Linked DNA regions of Tribolium castaneum. The protein of the gene in region 2 purifies or fractionates together with the protein of the main gene of each other region. This does not show direct contact. Links are inferred from orthologs where the notes say so. Each region holds a gene or a part of one and is shown on either strand. Other genes may lie near its edges. The genes, in order: Pop4 and Rpp30.

The links.
Region 1: the proteins of Rpp30 (region 2) and Pop4 purify together in Homo sapiens (affinity purification with mass spectrometry; 4 studies listed by BioGRID and IntAct, counting the BioPlex papers as one, with this or other methods). This does not show direct contact. The link is inferred for Tribolium castaneum from reciprocal best matches to the Homo sapiens genes RPP30 and POP4.

What each region holds. Positions count from the first base shown.
Region 1 is NC_087401.1:15,382,508-15,386,059, forward strand, and holds Pop4 (ribonuclease P protein subunit p29), read left to right. Parts: upstream 1-1,652; 5' UTR 1,653-2,131; coding exon 2,132-2,138; intron 2,139-2,190; coding exon 2,191-2,712; intron 2,713-2,760; coding exon 2,761-2,897; 3' UTR 2,898-2,898; downstream 2,899-3,552. Other genes in the region: uncharacterized protein F58A4.6, read right to left, coding at 2,899-3,280, 3,324-3,529. UniProt on the Homo sapiens protein: Component of ribonuclease P, a ribonucleoprotein complex that generates mature tRNA molecules by cleaving their 5'-ends.
Region 2 is NC_087398.1:7,285,470-7,289,430, forward strand, and holds Rpp30 (ribonuclease P protein subunit p30), read right to left. Parts: upstream 2,289-3,961; 5' UTR 2,190-2,288; coding exon 2,093-2,189; intron 2,038-2,092; coding exon 1,901-2,037; intron 1,854-1,900; coding exon 1,782-1,853; intron 1,735-1,781; coding exon 1,666-1,734; intron 1,622-1,665; coding exon 1,347-1,621; intron 961-1,346; coding exon 881-960; intron 834-880; coding exon 685-833; 3' UTR 633-684; downstream 1-632. Other genes in the region: uncharacterized protein LOC658939, read left to right, coding at 2,398-2,695, 2,746-3,006, 3,054-3,223; uncharacterized protein LOC103313092, read left to right, coding at 3,379-3,734, 3,780-3,961. UniProt on the Homo sapiens protein: Component of ribonuclease P, a ribonucleoprotein complex that generates mature tRNA molecules by cleaving their 5'-ends. Also a component of the MRP ribonuclease complex, which cleaves pre-rRNA sequences.

The DNA.
Region 1 (3,552 bases), on a different chromosome or scaffold from region 2:
ATTCTGTATTAGATTATTCTACCGTTGGCCGATTTTTTTTAATTTTTTTTATTTTCTCAATTACGACTAAACTATTCCAAAAAGTGAAACTATTTTGATTCACACCTATGCAAAATGATCCGGGGAATCGATTGGCATCGAGAAAATTGCCAAATTCCCAATAGTTTTTTAATTATGAATTTTTTAAAATTTTACCTATTTTTGCTTTTATTTGCAATTTTCTCGAAAACTATTAGTCGGAGAACAATGATCTTTTTTGAAAAAGATAGATAATTAAAATAGCTTTCCAACGCTAATACACTTCATGGGGTTATCTCGAATAGTTCCGGAGTTATTGCTCGATAAATGTCCGGAGACCCGGAATCGACCAAAATCGCGACAAAAATTGGAAAAATCAAACATAAAAAATTGAACATATGGACGTTTTTTGGACTTTTAACAACTCTAGAGGGTTGTAAAGGCATATATAAGTCCGAAAAACTATGATAGAACGAGTTTTAAAAAAATTTAATTTTTTCACTTTCGTGAAGGTAAGTGTGTTACTCAGGAAATTTTAGCAAAAAAATCAAAATTTTAAATCTCGTGAAAAGTTGGTATAATACAGAAAATGAGCCGCTGAATTCAATGGAACAAACCGCATTGCTCTACGACCTTTAGTTTTTTAGTTATGAATTTTTTTTGTGTTAACTTTTTTTTATTTTTATTTTTTTCTCAATTACGGCTAAACTATTCCAAAAAGTGGAACTATTTTGATCCATACCTATGCAAAATGATCCGGGGAATCGATTGGCATCGAGAAAATTCCCAAATTCCGAATATTTTTTTAGTTATGAATTTTTTAAAATTTTACTAATTTTTGCTTTTATTTGCAATTTGCTCGAAAACTATTAGTCGGAGAACTATAATCTTTTTTGAAAAAAATAGATAATTGAAAGAGCTTTCCAACGATAATACACTTCATGGTGTTATCTCTAATAGTTCCGGAGCTATTGCTCGATAAATGTTCCGGGCGCCGAAAATTGACCAAAATCGCAACAAAAATTGGAAAAATCAAACATCAAAAAATCGATCAAATGGACTTTTTGTGCACTTTTAACAACTTTAGTGGGTTGTTAAGACATATAGAAGTTCATAAAAATTTGCTGGAGTGAGTTAAAAAAAAATTTTTCACTTTTATGAAGGTATATATTTGCCTTGACCAACGAAATTTTAAGCAAAAAAAATCTCAAATACTACTAATCGCACAAAAATCAGGATTTTGCTCTTAAATCATTTATATTTTTTCAATGCCTGTGATATTTTTCCGAATTTTAATTAGGAAAGGGTAGAAAAAATTTGAAAAAATTCACAAGCGACTAAAGCTTCGATCAAAAAAATTATTGATGGCTTTGGCCATAAATAGCACTGATTTCAAATAAGGTGTAGAGTGAGTGGATGTTTGAACATTTCATTATTATGCCAGATTGCTTCTCCAGTTCCTTAATTACTAATTAGTCCCAAAAATCGAATCAAACAAGGAACTTTCCGCCTGACTTCCTTTGACCTGAAAGTAGCCGACCTTTCAGACCCCGACAATAGCTAACTCTATTACCTATGCTGTTAAACAAACTGGAAACTTTTTTTATTATACTTTATCGCAACGAATCTCGACTATAACGTAACATGAAGAGACAGTTGAAGTGACATTTTGAAAATTAATCTTAGACGTGACTTGTACTTTCCTGTGCAATAGTTCAATTCGTAATGTAATGTAATAATAAAAGATGCGTCTCGTCAAAAGAAAGTTATAAATGGAAATACGTAACCCACAAAAACGCACAATTGGCGGTTCGTTCCCAGACATATCTCATCCTTTCATAATTCACTTAAAGCGGAGACAGCGGCAATTCACACGAAAAAAGAGACGCGTCTGCCAGATTTGAGAGAAAATTAACGAATTTCACATTTCGAATAATTCCGAATCAACCGCCAATTAACGAAATTAACCCAACTTTGTCAACACCGCACTTTAATAAAAATTCCGACCTTTGACACCCGAATAACAATAAAAAAAGAGAAAGTTACGGCGCTTTTACTCAAATTTAAACTTCGCGCCACTTGTGATTGACATCAGTTAACCTCGTTTTTTCCAATGGCCGGTAAATCGCTTAAAACCAGCATTTAAACGTTTTATTGCTGTTTTTCCCCCAGATTTATACACGAGCTTGCCCGACCAGTACCTCAAAAACGCCCCCGAGATCGGGGACCCCACCACCTACATCCAAAAACTGCTCCTGAAGGAACTCCCTAGAAGCGACTCCCAACAGCTACGCCACGACCTGAAATGGCAATTCCTCCTCGACAAACACCAAAGTTCGCAAAAGCGAAAAAAACCGATCCGGAAAAAGAAGACTTTTCTCACTCGAAGGGAGCGAAAAGACCTTAACATTTTAAAATTGCCAAAGTCAGACTGGGATTACAATTCACTTGAAGGGATCAGGAAAATGTGGCGTCAATACATGAGACAGAACCTGGAATTGGCCGGGCGTGCGCCCCACTGTAGTGAGCAAGACTGGGCCAACTTTTCGGCAGTTTTGGCCAAATCTGAGCTAATCGGGAGCGAGATCAAGGTGGCGCGGTCCAAGTGCCCCAGTCACGTGGGCCTGACTGGGACCGTTGTCTTGGAAACGAAAATGACGTTCCAGATCGTCACACAACAATCACAATTGAAAAGTATTTCAAGCAATAATTTTAAATCGTCTCTAAATCGCTTGATTTCAGTTATTCCAAAAAACACGTCCGTGTTCGAGTTCGTCTTGGACGCCATGAAGTTCACAGTTTTCGGCAAACACATAATGACGAAGCCCAGCGAGCGCAGCGTTAAAAAAATCAAGTCGGTGATGTTACCAGATTTGTGATTTATTTTTTGCGCTTACGCCCCAAGCTATGCTCATATTGTAATTTCGACCAAATGCCTTTACACATCTTTACAAGTCGTTCGTCCACAACAAGTGCATTTTTCGCGGTTGTGAACTCCTGATAAATTATGTTCCTGGCCAGTTTGAAGCGTTTTTGTTGAATTAAACTTAGACTAAAGTAGAGGCGACATCTGGCGGCCACAGTCGGGTCACCTAACCTCAAAGCTAGCTTCAATTGATTCACGGAGATTTTCCCGGCGATTTGGGCACAATTCGCGAAGTAGTCACCAAGGGCTGAAAAAGCCCCCCCGAGGGTGGACAACCACGACATGGCGTGGTCCAGCTCGCACCGCTCGCGCACCATTTCCACCACTCGTTCGTTCCTGAAAAAGTGTTAGCCCCCAATTTTGACACTAATTGACTCACCATTGGTAGTCAATTAGGTTGTAACGTGTCTCCAGGAGAATAAAGCTAAAGTTGCGGCTGTTTTGCGATTTTATGAAGCAAATCCGGTAGAAGCGACTTAACCTCAACTCCTTCAGCAAGTAGTGGTAGAACACGCAGTCGATTCGGAGCACACAAGGGGGGCCTTTAGTGCCGTTTTTGCCTAGTCTTAACCCGACTTGCATCATTTTTTTTGTAAATTCATCGTAAT
Region 2 (3,961 bases):
TTACGAAAATCCGACGTTTGCGGAAACTTACCATGGACACCGTCGGCCTCTGTTCCGTTCAACTCTATCCCTTTTTGACACCGACGAAAAATGCACTTTCCACTACCTATCCGCAGTGTTAAACTATGCTACGTTGATAACCACATTTGTATTTGAGATATTTTACTTATTAGTTACACTTATCAACGATTATATACATGAATTCACTTAATTAAATTTTGTGTATAAACTGCACGTATAAATGAATACTCCATTTTATCATTACGCTTGTGATCGACGGTGCTGCCACCTTTCAAAGCGCCAAGTTTGAAATTACGCACCACTACACCGCACACCACTTCCGGTTCCAATTCAAACTCGAAATTTCTCACTCCTTCAATCAATAAATTGCCAATTTTGCACACACACGTGTAATTACTCCATATCCGATTATTACAAGACCCGGCAATGGATTGCATAAGCGACAATCAAACTTTCTTTGCAACAAAACTCGTATTGATTTATCAGACCTGTTAATTAGAATATTTATTATTTAAATATGAGAACTGCAATTAAAAACTAATTAGATCAGCACCTATTTATACATTCTCTTCTAGCAGCATAATTTTATTGTTAATAATAAAAAAAGACAATTTTAACTCCAATTATTTTATTGATAACACAATTAAAAAACACAATAAAAACTTATTGTTTAACTTTTTTTAATGCTGGTTGATCAATTTCCATGTCTTCTTCACTTTCGTCAACACAGTCTATTATTTCACAATCGTTTGAACTCTCTTCTTTTTCCACATTTTCAGCAAACATAACAGCCTTACCATGTTTTCGACCAACTAAAACATTAATAATTATTTTGTAACTACAAACGTATCTAATTTACCTGAATTGATAAAAACTTTGCGACCACAAGTTGTTATGGAATTTTTTGCTTGTTCTTCATTTAATCCAAATATTAAACCTCTACAAAAATAAAAAAACATTTCGTATTATTACTCCTATTTATAGCTTTGCATTTATTAAAATTACTACAAAGTTGTCTCCCTCAGCACCGTTAAGAAATTATTAGGTTGATAGCGATGCAAATTTTTTAGTTTGTAGAACTTTCACCCCTGCAGTGACAATGACTTAAAATTAAAATTGATTATTAACTGTTTCAAAACTGTAGAAATGCCAATTTAAATAATTTTTTTAAGTACATAAATAATTTATAACTTCCTGCCAAAAAATACATCTTTTCCCACCATTAGTCAGACCAGAAAAATTACATAATTAAACGAACGCACTTTAACTGTATTTGCGAATTTACTAATTAAAAAATATTTGATCCAATAATTAAGAATACCTACAAATTAATGATATCATAAGGCCCCCTAAGCAAAGAAGGTCTTTCGGCTAAGCTCGACACGATAACATTTCTTGACTTGATAAAAATGTGATATAGATGTGCCATGTGTATAATGTTTCTCCTTAAAGCGGCGTCTTCAATAGCAGGCGCGTAAGGTATTTCAAAATGATAGCCCCTGTCTATTAGCTGCTTGTACATTTTTCTTGAACGTTTAATGTGGTTTTTATTCTCTGGACGAAAGCATAATATGTCTGCTTCAAAGCTGCTACAAACAAACTACAAAAAAGTGTTAAACCGTTTTTGTTTGTTGAAAATCTTACCGCATTTGCTTGAACCGTTTCAGGTAAAACCGCGATTATGTGATATTTTTTGTAGTGTGAAGACTTTGTCTAAAATAATAATGTAACAAATTTATAACCTTATCAGGGTAACTTACAATTTTATGCATCACGTCTTGATTGGAAAAAATTATTGTTAAGCGGTTTAGAATAGTTAAGTCTTCGTAACCCTGCAATATTGATATTAATTTAAACAAAATCTCGGTAAAAATATTACTTCAAGTGGAGTTATTTTGTAGGGTTCTGGTACAAAATCTGAGGGGCCTTCTCTAAGTTCACCTTTTTTCTTCTTCTTTTTCTGCTCTAATTCATTTGCATCGATTGTTTGGTTTATTGCTATTGTCCTGTAACCGACTGAAATACATTTTCTCTCAGAAATTTGCTGTTAATAAAATTGTTTGCAACTCACAATCGTACAACAATTTAATGGTCGATTCATATTTGTTGTTGTCCAAACAATGCTCAGAGACACCGTAATCAAAAAAACCTCTGACTTCCAACTTCATGTTCCGTAATACTACTTTTTTATAAAAATAAATTTTTAAACAATCCCTAACCTAGCACTAGCACATGTTTACCACAATCTGTCAAAAGTCATCCTTCTCTGTCTAAATTTTTAAAAACTAATCTATCTGTCTCTGTTTTTTTGACGCACGTCAATTTGAAAGGTTATGTTCAAAATCTAAATTTGTTTATTTTAATTTAATAAAAACCATGTTTGTGACACGACTTTTAAGCAAAACGCGGCCGCAAAATCAGTGTCTCTATTTATTACAAAACTGTGTCCAGCGGAGACTGAAATCTGGCAAAAGTACAAAAACCCAACCCCCAGACACATCCCAAAGTACAACAAAGACACCTCTTGGCGAAATGAGCTCAAAATACCAGATTTTTCGAGATGAAGACTCCGAAGTCATACTCGATATTTACGAGGACCGGAGTAAATACGCAAATCCGGTGAATGCGATTGAAGAGGAGGAACCTGACCCTTTTGTGGGCCTTAATTTAGAGAGTATTACAATCACTAGTGTTTGAAACATTTTGTACATTGTCTCTTTGAAGGAGGTGTCAATGGTGTTTATAATATTGAAGACTTGATCGAAGTGCTTCACTCTGAAAATGCTGAAGACATTTTTGTGGCTGCGGTGCCTAAAGAAATTCAGTATGTTGAGTACATTTGCGTTGTTACTGGAAAGTCACACAAACATATGAAGGCAATTGCTCAGTTTGTTAGGATGATTTATAAGAAAAAAATGCACAAAACTGATCTTATCCCTAAGCTTGAAGGCGAAAATTCAAAGGATTGGTTAGCTTTAGATTTAGGTAATTTTTGTTTTTTGTTTTCAATTGTTTACTATCTGAAATTGTAGGAAATATAGCCCTTCACATATTTTCGCGCGAAGCTAGGACTGTATATGATTTAGATTCCTTATGGGCCCTGGGAGCGAAATATGACCCGGAATGTAATAAACAAGATCCTGTAGCGGAAATGTTGGAAAAACATTCGGTTTACTTGGAAGACTTACATCCTGCCAGATAATACACTAATCTGTTAAGTTATAGTAAAATAGTGTAAAATACAATATATGAAAATTGACTCATGTTTATCAATACTGATAACGCTGGAAATGGTTTATTATCTCAGTGTGTGATAAAATTTGACTCATCATGTCAGAAACCTGAATTTTTCTAAAAATGAGTGTTAACAAAGGAAAGGTTCACTTAAGGAAAACGTTTCTAAATTACGAACTCACGCCAAGACAGGACGTTATAATAAATTATTTCATTCCTTCAGTTTGTTCTTTCCTACTGTATGTTTTTTTGTTTGCAAGTGACTGTGCTGTGGTGTTCAGACACTACAAGGATAATGATCCCATATGGGCCTCCGTCACTTTATTTATTATTTATTTTCCCTCACTTTGTTCATACATTGTGCTAACATCATCATGGGAATTGTGGCCCGAAATGGAAGGCTGTGGGTGTGATAATTTCTTGTGGTGGTTGATTAAAACTTTGGAACATTTATTATTCCCAATCTGGGCTGTCTGGAGGTAAAAAAAATATTTGAGATAAGAATATGAATTAAATAATTCTAGATACGCCGAACGAATTTTCTGGTCAATTGAAGGAATGCGTTCAGATGATGAAAAATACATTTCCGAAGCAATAGAAACAGTCACAGCACCACGCTCCATCGAATTGTATTTCTTTTTCCAAGCTTTTTTACAATCATTGCCGCAAATGTTACTCCACATAAACATAGTAATGAGACAAACTC